3 linked regions of the Bombyx mori genome follow. The protein of the gene in region 2 purifies or fractionates together with the protein of the main gene of each other region. This does not show direct contact. Links are inferred from orthologs where the notes say so. Each region holds a gene or a part of one and is shown on either strand. Other genes may lie near its edges.

Region 1 (3,499 bases), on a different chromosome or scaffold from region 2:
GAAGATGTGAAGAAGCAGGCTTTCTTCCGCAATGTTGATTGGGAGCAATTGTTATTGCGTAAAGTGAAACCACCATTTGTGCCAACAATAAAACACTTGGAAGATGTTAGCAATTTTGACAGTGAGTTTACCTCTGAAGCAGCTGTGCTTACACCGCCTAAGGAACCGAGACCACTGTCATCCACAGATCATAAAATGTTTGAAGATTTTACATATATGGCAGACTGGTGCTAGGTCAGACTGTGAGAAATAAAACAAATGGTATATTTATACCATAAAATGCTAACTACACAACAATAAACCCCTGATTGCCTTAAGAGTGTGACTTTTCTGTATTTTGATAATAATAATAATGTTATAAAATATCTAACAGGTTGTCTTGTTAACTTATATTTAATGCAGTTTAAATGCAAAATTTTATAATAAATTATATAATTAAGTTTTAAATAGTGCTAATGTTTATTTTTTTAAAACATAGTGTTATAGATTTATATATTGTGTAGTTATGAACTTAACTTTAAAAGACTAATATGTGAAGGCGTGTCAAATCATATTACGTTTTCAGTCAATTGTTTACTTATTCACTGAAATAAAGGCATAAACACAAACAATTTTTTTACTTAATTACGTTTTTAATAGAACAAATGCATTTTAATGTTGTTTCCATTACGTTTGGTATGTGAGCATATCTGGAATTGTTAAGGTACAGATTGTTATTTTATAGTAATTACAAAACAATGAAACAGAAAATGTACAAAGAACATTATTAGTCTCAGAATTTCATTCACAATTCACTCACAATTACAATACAATTCGCTCTCCTTTCATAATAAACTAGAGAATAGCACACACTTTTGTATGGACATATAGGACCAATGGGTCACTTTAATTGCCTGGTACAACCTGTTGCTAAATACACTAATAAACTATAGACTCAAAAATACATTTTACTCCCTATTTCCTAAATTTATGCAATTGAGTATTTCCTACCATAAAATTCAGACAACACAAGTTACTTACTAACTATTAAATTATTGCATTATCAACCTTAATCTTGTAAGATCCTTTTGTTACAATACCAATAATTATTTAAGACTGTTTATTCTTTTCACAATATGTACACATCACACAGAGTTATGATCACAAAAAAATAAACAAAAGTAAAATCAGAGCTCACATTCGTGAGCCTTTTTGCTGCAACACTTTTGCACGATCTGTTGACTCAATGTCATTACTGTTGAGTGTACTACCACATTCACGACTAACCACACAAAGGAACTCTGCATGTTCATCATTGCCATAGTTATACTGTGAACCAATATTGATTAGTTGTTCAAATTTCCAACCATCTGACATTGTGGAAACCATCTGTGTCAGCTCCTCTTCATGAAACTGCAGAACTCTGTATACATGTTTCTTGGAATCTTTCAAAGGTCTTCTCTCTCTGAGACATATTCTCTCTTTAACTAATCTTATAAGTTCCGTAATGTTGTAGAATTCTGCTTCTTCGAGAACCCCTTCTTCAGCAATATCATTGTTAATCACCAATTTACCGTGGCGAAGATAATTGAGGACAGGTGAAAAATATGTCGGGTCTCTATCTATTAAATAAGCGCCAGTCTCATCCTGAAACAATGTTAAGAATATATTAACAAACATAAAAGGGAACCTTAATTAGCATACAAAAAGACAATATGAAATCGAACAAACCCTGTCTGATATCAAGTCACTATCCTCTTGAACTAATCGATACAAAAATGAATTAGGATCCCTACATAGAGTTGTTTTTGTAGTTAAAAAATACGTTCCACCAACGTTAAGTTTGACCCATTGTTTGCTACTCCGCCTTTCATTATTAAATTTTTGTATATTTTCTTCCATAAAATCACTACAGTCAATATGCTCCGCCATCGCGTACCAAAGACAACCCGTGCACCGTTCGTATCGTAGACAGTAGTTTTGTCATGCTTGTCATTGTCTTGAGAGCTTTTTGGCGGCGACTCGATGGATACATTTAATAAATTATTAATATATTTGGTTAATTTGTGTTTTTCTGGCTTAAAGCCAAATAGCTTTCTATAAATGTGGCTTCGTAGCAGCAAAGTATTACGAAAGTGCACAAGCGAGAGAGAGGGAGAGAGAGAGAAAAAGGCCTAGTCATGGTTTCTCGACTTTTTACAAAGTCTAAAAATGCTGGGTGTACACGTATAAAGCCTCACCAATTTTTCTAAAGAAAACATACTAACGCTTGTTCACGAAGGCTTTCATCGTTTTAATTAAATCCAAAAACTTGTGCTAGGATATTGTGAACCCGCATGGTAGACACCACCATCTTTGCTTATTTCTGTCGTTATTTCTTAAATGGGTATCGTCATGCGAGAGAAAGTTAGGTTCTTGTGAAGGTATGTGTCACTTCTATCAAAGGTTTTTTTTTTTCAGAAAGAAATGTATATATGTTATCATTGAAAAGTCTGTCTAAGACTTTTTTATAAATTTCCATTATTTAATAAACTACAATCTCTTTATATATTTTTTTCAGTTATGGTGTAAAAAATTCAATCGTACAAACATTGCAAAAGACTATCAACTTTGTTTCGTTTGCCTGTACCAATTGAGTAGACAAAACAAAGAAAAAATATGCTACTTACTACTTTGTGCTATTGTCAAAATTTGTAGAAATTGGTCAAACAAATTCTCAGTTTTTGTTTAGTTAACAAGATTTTAACTTTATTAATAAATAAAGTTATGAAATCAAGTGGCATGCGGTACTAAATACCTTTAAAAAGCGATTCTAATTAAAGTCAGCCCATTCAAAATGAGTGGTAATATGGAAAGTGATAGATCTGTTACAACTGGCAAGATGTACCCAATAGATTTGGCGCCTCAAAAAATCACTATAGTTAAAAATGTAACTAATAATGAGGTTAAAATGGCGCATTTAATAAGTGGACAAACCAAAACTTCGGGTTCTAACCCCATACTGGGTCACTCCAACGCTAGTTCGACAGTGATGCGACCTGGCTTGGCGCAGATTATTGCGCCGAATGTTGTCTCCCAGGTAAATGTATAACATTATAAGAAATAAAATTTCATAAATAACTCCTACATTAAATTCCCAAGCTATACACACCTTCAATGTGGATGTATTTTCAGTGACTCCAAAATCAACCGGAAAAATTTAAAACGATTTTATTTCCAGTTTATAATGTTTTAAATGTAATGGCTTTTGTGGGTAGGAAATTAAAAAATAACTGTATGGAATCCATTCTACAACTTGCAAAAAATAAATCGTCTCTTCATATTTAGAACTATAGTATCCTGTCAGTAATACGCCATTCAGTGTTAAAGGCGGACTCAACTTGACCGCATTTTTGACCGTAATACAATTATGCTATAAATTTCAATTATCAGTTTATCAATCTGTCATAAATCCTTGCTCTCTCTCGTGTATACAGTTTTGTAGTTATATTTTTAAGTTGTCTAGATTTAGTCTTGTCAT
Region 2 (3,662 bases):
TAATTTTAAATGCCCAGCGAAGCGGGCGAGTACGGCTAGTACTATATAAAAATAAGACATTTTCGTCGTTAAACACTTATGCATGTAAAGAACAGTGCGCATTCACAGCTGAACTTGTACGGAGTGGATCTGTCCGTCCGAGTGCTCACGACCGGCTTCTGGCCGACGCAGAGCGCGACGCCGAAGTGCAACATACCGGCCGCGCCCAGGAACGCGTTCGAAGTCTTCAGAAGGTCAGTACAGGCATTCCTCTCAACTCAATAGGAAACCAAATTTTACAAAACGCGGCTGATCGCAACTCACCACGTGTGACGTCATTCAGGGCCATCGCAAGCCACGGACTAACCATGGAATAAATCTGATTCAGTTCTTCAGCATTACTCACTTTTCTGGTTGGTGTGTAAAATGTATCAATAGAAAAAAATTAAATTATAAGTATAACTTTGTCTATGATCTCACATAGAGGGAGGCAATATTACATAAACGAATCTCTAGCACAATACTATCAACAAATAGCATGAGGCGCCGGTAATGAAATGGGTGTATTTCATGTTTGGCGACGGTGTACCGTGGCAGGTTTTCGCTAGTCTATATTATACAAGGAATTGCTGTTCGTTAGTCTCGCTAAAACTCGCGAACGGCTGGACAGATTTAGCTAATTTTGGTCTTCAATTATTCGTGGAAGTCCAGAGAAGGTTTAAAAGGTGAATAAATATGAAAATGCTCGGAATTATATAAAAAAGGATGCGTGTACTTATGTACGCGCGTAAGAAGTTATACTTTATTTTTATTAAATTCATTCCTTTTTTTTTATTTAAATTTAATCAATTTGAAAAAAAATCGATTAAACAACATCCTCAAACACGCATATTGGACATCCCTATTCTTGACATCGTATAAATTCGGTAATTCTCGGTACGGTTCGGAAAGTTCACCTGCGGCTATATTCAGACTCGCCAAGTTACGTCGGTCGTATTGTAATGAGCGATTTAGTGGGCAACTTCATTCTGTTAATTTTGTGTCACGGTGCGCGCGCATCGTAAAATTTCACTCTCATCAATTTTTCATAACGCGCCTAAAGAAGTATAACTTCAAAAAGAAACAATTTTGTTTTTCCTTTGATGTGTCCCTTGTCGGACGGATTCCTTTTGTTTTTTTTTTTATGTTTTTTTTATACAAAAGTGTAGGTCTTTTATTCATCGATTGAGGCACTACGAAGTCTGCCGGGTCAGCTAGTAAATTCATAAATATATGAAGGACTTCTAGACGCAGTTACGAATGTTCGGGAGAAGCATTAACTTTCTCTGCTTGCTTTGCAGCTTCTACTTGGCGAAGCACTCCGGGCGGCAGCTGTCCCTGCAGCCGCAGCTGGGCAGCGCGGACCTGCACGCCACGTTCGGCGCCGCGCCCGCCTCCCCGCCCGCGCCCGCCGCGCCGCGCCGCCACATCATACAGGTCTCCACCTTCCAGATGTGCGTCTTGCTGCTCTTCAACCAGCGCGACCGTCTCACCTACGAGGTCAGTTTTCGACCTTCGGTTCCAGATTTTTAATACATACAATCTATACTAATATATAAATCTACAGTGGTTTTTACGGATGTTCCGTTATAACGACTGAACCATGCATCCGATTGACTTGAAATTTGGTATCTATGTAGGAAATACGTGTACTTAATGGATAGGCTAATATTTCTATGAGTGTTGGACTCCCTACACCAGTTGCGGGGGCGTTAATGATGAGTATCTTTTTGGGGGTGAGAAATAATAATGTTAATTTTAAATGCCCAGCGAAGCTGACGGGTACAGCTAGTGTTAGTATAAACATAGATATTAATATAAATAGAGGGTAACATGAGAAGGAGGGCTATTAAAAGACTGGGATGGGCTGTGTGAAAGGGTATATGCGAGAGAAGGGTGTAAGTGCAGAGGTGACGTATGATAGCCCTAATTGAAAAAAAGAGGAATGCAGCGCCGACCCCACATATTGGGTTATGGACAAAAACACTATGTTAATATATACAAACAAAAGAAAAAAATGTACTTAACCATTTTGTCTTTGCCGATTTGTATACAAATGTTGGGTCTGTTTCTAAGTTTTTATATGAACTTTAGGTTCCTAACGTCGGAACTACCTTTTGATTGAATCTCAACCTATAGACTACAAATTATATAGATTAATCATTGAAAAAAAAAATATTCTAAAGATGAACACACAGACTTCTCTAGTTTATTATAGTCAATATAATTATAATTTGCTATAGGCATATATGACTTATGCTTTTAAAAATGAAATATACTCTGCCTTTTACAAACTTCTACAACTAACCAAACTGATTGCAGGAATTACTCAATGAGACTGATATACCGGAAAAGGATTTAGTCCGCGCGCTTCAATCGTTGGCCATGGGCAAGCCGACCCAACGAATTCTCATCAAACATCCTAAAACTAAAGAAATTGAGCCCTCACATCAGTTTTACGTCAATGATGCCTTCACATCTAAGTTACATAGGTAATTTTTAATATTTAAACACGTTCCATGGATTAATAACAAAGGGCCTCTATGCAAATATATTGCAATACTTAATTAAAATTTGCGCTCGTCTCTCTGGTCCATTTGTAGATCCATTGGTACTTAAAATGTCGAACGTATTAGTAGATAATAACAAATGTACCTGGCCTTCCCGGTTCATCTCACTTATCAAGATAAACTGTTGTGTTAATCTGAGTATCTTGGTGCGAAATTTCATCAATTTGGATTTTGGATTACATTTACATTTGGATATGGATGGACACATTTTGGATTTTTTTTATTTATTGCTTAAATGGGTGGACGAGCTCACAGCCCACCTGATGTTAAGTGGTTACTGGAGCCCATAGACATCTACAACGTAGACGCGCCACCCACCTTGAGATACAAGTTCTAAAGTCTCAGTATAGTTACAACGGCTACCCCACCCTTCAAACCGAAACGCATTACTGCTTCACGGCAGAAATAAGCAGGGCGGTGGTACCTATCCGCGCGGACTCACAAGAGGCCCTACCACCAGTAATTACGCAAATTATAATTTTGCGGGTTTGATTTTTATTACACGATGTTATTCCTTCACCGTGGAAGTCAATCGTGAACATTTGTTGAGTACGTATTTCATTAGAAAAATTGGTACCCGCCTGCGGGATTCGAACACCGGTGCATCGCTTCAACACGAATGCACCGGACGTCTTATCCTTTAGGCCACGACGACTTCAAATCAATAGCCCATAGACATCTACAACGTAAATGCGCCACCCACCTTGAGATATAAGTTCTAAGGTCTCAAGTATAGTTACAACGGCTGCCCCACCCTTCAAACCGAAACGCATTACTGCTTCACGGCAAAAATAGGCAGGGTGGTGGTACCTACCCGTGCGGACTCACAAGAGGTCCTACCACCAGATAGAGTAACAAACGTCCAAACATAAAACTTTTTTAATATTAGTATAGGTTTTTTTTTCTACCTCTTCTGATAGGCTTGAGAAGCTATTTCAGCTTCACCCTAGCGTATAGGTGAGCTCTCGGGACTCAAACCGGAAGGGATGCTAACACTGGTCCTAGCAAATGCAGTGCTTCCCAGAATCTACCACCGGATAATTATTTGTTCTTGACATATTTTTTTGCAGAGTT
Region 3 (3,762 bases), on a different chromosome or scaffold from region 2:
TATGGAAGGATATTCCACAAACTGGAGAGGATTCTCGCTTAAAACCACTTATATTAAAAGTGTTCACCATGATTACACGGAAACTTTCACGATTTTCGAAAAAAAAACAAGCCATAAGCTGTATCAGTGCCATTTTAACTTCGCACTACAAACGTAAATAGACGCCATTTTCCTTTTAATCCATTCATAGCTTTTTTTCGGTGATGCCAACAATTAATCTGGCTTCCCACCAAATTCAACATGAAAACCATCAGAAATCTACGTACCTACCATTAAATTTTCCATTAAACAGAGTTCTTATTAATATAGAACAATATTTTTTTTGTTAATGAGCTTTATTAATATATGATGTTCTATTAAAAATCAATATATATCATATAATCAATACTTCTTATATAATTTATTTTAATAAATTGTCATCATCAGAAACTAAATTCACCATAACTTTGTACGTTTATGTTGAACCAATTTAATTTTTGACGTTGATGGAAATTCTAAATTGTCGCAATATTTTCTAGTTAAGTTTAAGTCACATCGTTTAAATAATATGCATTTAGATATATTATTGTCATAAAATGCTTAAAATCCTGTAAAGTGGATTGATTTTAACCTTTTCAATAATTTTCAACAACGCCCAAGCTACTAAAAAATCCACTAACCACTAAAAGCCATTTTTGATAACTAAGACGGGGGTCCAAATTCCGAGATTTTATGGAAAATCCTCTAAGCTAGCAACACTGCTTTTTGTTTGTAAAATGTGCGAGAGGGACACCACCACTTAATAATCATTCTCTTTTCAGACCGTTTTTCCTTACATCTTTTGCTATTTAAAAATAAACTTTAAGCCATAGAGATAAAGTATATTTTTAGTTTTTATGTCAAACGAAGTAAGCACTCCAGTTAAAATAGTAACTCTATGACCCAAACCAACAAAATTGACATTATTGTCGCTTGACAGTTGACAATGACATTTTAACGTTCATTCGATTTGATTGAGAGTGGATTTGAGGCTCAAGAACCGAACGCAAATTGAAATCTATTTAGTATTTATGTCGTTCAAAACAATCAAATTACGAATAAAAGTCACAATAACATATTTTTAATACCGACTGTCTGTTATCTTTAAGCGATTACCTGTAGCTTTTACTTTGAAAACTTTGGTTTTTGTTCAGTTATGTGTTCTACCTGTGCATTCGTCGTGAACTGACTGAAGATTGCAGGATTTGAACTATGGAAGGAAACGCTGATGGCGACAGAGAAAGAGCCATGTAAGTTGTTTAATATCACAATAATCTGTGAGGTCAAGGATTTACAAACGTTTACACAATAAGTCTGGATTGTGCTGTTATTTTACGTCCACGAAGCAGAACTATTTACTGATAATTATAACTATAATCATTTGTCACGTTGGACTTAACAAACAGAAAAAAAAAAATTTTTTTTTACTTTACAAATATAATGTAGGCTTCAAAAGTATTTATGAATCAGGTAAGCCAAAAAATTGTGCTATACAAAAATGTATGTCAATAAGTGTCACTACATATATCAATAAATAATTTTTGAAGATAGATTGGATATTTTTAATTTAAATAGTATTAAACCTTAAACTATTTACTTATATTTAGGTATGGTCAACTCATAACAGCATATTGTAATGTGGGTAGAGTTGCATTAATATCTTCTGTTTTGTACATTTTAAATATTCCATGTTTAAATGTACTAACATCCAAATATCTTTAAGAAAGATACTGGACCTGGAATTAAATCTGAGACTGTTACTACTATGGCTGTAGGATTTTCAGTCCATATTGAAGTCAATTCATTAAATTGGATTGAAAGTACTTTATGCTCAGTGTTATACAGTGTTATGCAAATATCAAGATATGCTTCACAATATAAATAGGTCAACAACATTAATATAATAATAATCACATATACTCAATAAATAGATACGTTTGTAAATTATTTAATTTGGATAAGAGAAATAGCGACACATATTATTGTACAGAAGGTTTAAAGCTCATGATTTGCACATTGATTAATATTTTTGATAGATACTGTATTATGCAGCATATCAATAAAGTAAAATGAATACTGTGCATAAATAAGAAAGTACTTATTTAGCAAAATAATATCATTATAATTTCAATGTTAATGAGTACATTAACAATAGGTTAAGGATAAGTAACAATAGGTTAAGGATAAGTAACAAATCAGTGTGTCTCGAACACAACAATTTATACTGATATCTCAAATTTTATAAGCTTAAACATGTTACTTCTACATAATAAACACAAGAAATAAAACCAAAGTAAATCTATACACAATAATAAAATTATTCTCCTACTTAATAACATGGAAATATTGTTTCAATTGTGCATTCGTGATGTTCTTGAGTGACATTGGTGATGTTCTACTGGTGGTAGAACCTCTTGGGAGTCCGCACGGGTAGGTACCACCACCCCGTCTATTTCTGCCGTGAAGCAGTAATGCGTTTCGGTTAGAAGGGTGGGGCAGCTGTTGTAATGATACTGAGATCTTAGAACTTATATCTCGAGGTGGGTGCTGTATTTACGTTGTAGATGTCTATGGGCTCCAGTAACCACTTAACACCAGGTGGTCTGTGAGCTCGTCCATCCATCTAAGCAATAAAAAAAAAAACATTATCACTCACCACCAGGTGGGTGGGCCTTAAGCTCTTTGTCCTCAATGTTGATAAAACAGTGCTTTCACCATTACTGTAATATTAAATTCCCATACCTTTAACATAACTACCATACAAATTTGGTGGTTGTTATTGTTATTTTATTTTGTTGCCAACAGCTTAGCAGTTGATAACGGAGCAGCAGAAGGTGATGGAGACAGAGGAAGGTATAGGTTAGTGTACTTTGCATTTTATTTGAGGCAAGGCTAAGTCTCTGTCAAAACGCTTATTGTTATTACACTACATGTTCTAATTTAAATTTGATTATAATAGCAACTGCAAACTTATTATTGTACATCTTAGAAAGCTGTAGCCTGTGGACCCTCAAGTGAGGATATGAATTAGTTGGAAGCTAAGAATAATTTGTAACAATATACTACACACAGAGTAAAATGTATAAAAATGACTTCTATTGCAGCATGATGGTACGTTGTGCATCACAGTCATCTCTAGATGAGTCATCACAGCGGCCTGCCACCACTGAAAATACTATTGGAGGAGCTCAACATGCATCAAAGTTGCTTGAGGCCTTAGCGAGGTTGAGACAAGATGCAACACTCTGTGATGTTCGGATACAGGTAAGATTATGTTTACAAAAGTAAAATCATAACATGAATTACATTTGATGTTTCTTTTGAGTATATTATTTTATGTTCATCTCATAAAAAGAAATCTTTGTGATAACAACATCGCGATTATTTGTAAGAGGATGTAGTAATTAATATTTTAGTGATGGGTGAAAGTTTTTTGCTATTACTTGTACCTGGAATACTCTATTATCCCACTCAATAGTTTATTGAGTTTTACTGCAGCGATACAACGCGATAGCTACAGGTAATAGGGATGACTGTTGAACCAGTTACCTCTAATTGACCAAACATAACATTAACATTTGTTGGACTTTTCAGGCCCAAGCGGAATGCGACAGCGAGCCATCCGAAGGCGTATGGGCTCATCGCGCGGTATTGGCGGCTTCATCGCCCTACTTCCACGCTATGTTCACACAGTTCGACGAAAGAACACAACCCACTGTCACTATACAGGTAAAATTAGCTTAA

What was found.
Region 1: the proteins of cullin-3-A (region 2) and BTB/POZ domain-containing protein KCTD5 purify together in Drosophila melanogaster (affinity purification with western blotting; 4 studies listed by BioGRID, with this or other methods). This does not show direct contact. The link is inferred for Bombyx mori from reciprocal best matches to the Drosophila melanogaster genes Cul3 and inc.
Region 3: the proteins of cullin-3-A (region 2) and kelch-like protein 3 purify together in Drosophila melanogaster (affinity purification with western blotting; 3 studies listed by BioGRID). This does not show direct contact. The link is inferred for Bombyx mori from reciprocal best matches to the Drosophila melanogaster genes Cul3 and kel.

Annotation. Positions count from the first base shown.
Region 1 is NC_085123.1:10,763,564-10,767,062, reverse strand, and holds BTB/POZ domain-containing protein KCTD5, read right to left. Parts: upstream 2,146-3,499; 5' UTR 1,912-2,145; coding exon 1,711-1,911; intron 1,627-1,710; coding exon 1,174-1,626; 3' UTR 559-1,173; downstream 1-558. Other genes in the region: serine/threonine-protein kinase N, read left to right, coding at 1-234; mucin-5AC, read left to right, coding at 2,816-3,058.
Region 2 is NC_085110.1:9,637,661-9,641,322, forward strand, and holds part of cullin-3-A, read left to right. Parts: intron 1-108; coding exon 109-233; intron 234-1,319; coding exon 1,320-1,518; intron 1,519-2,340; coding exon 2,341-2,510; intron 2,511-3,658; coding exon 3,659-3,662.
Region 3 is NC_085109.1:522,851-526,612, reverse strand, and holds the start of kelch-like protein 3, read left to right. Parts: upstream 1-978; 5' UTR 979-1,230; coding exon 1,231-1,268; intron 1,269-2,823; coding exon 2,824-2,877; intron 2,878-3,122; coding exon 3,123-3,282; intron 3,283-3,612; coding exon 3,613-3,747; intron 3,748-3,762. UniProt on the Drosophila melanogaster protein: Component of ring canals that regulates the flow of cytoplasm between cells. May be involved in the regulation of cytoplasm flow from nurse cells to the oocyte during oogenesis. Binds actin.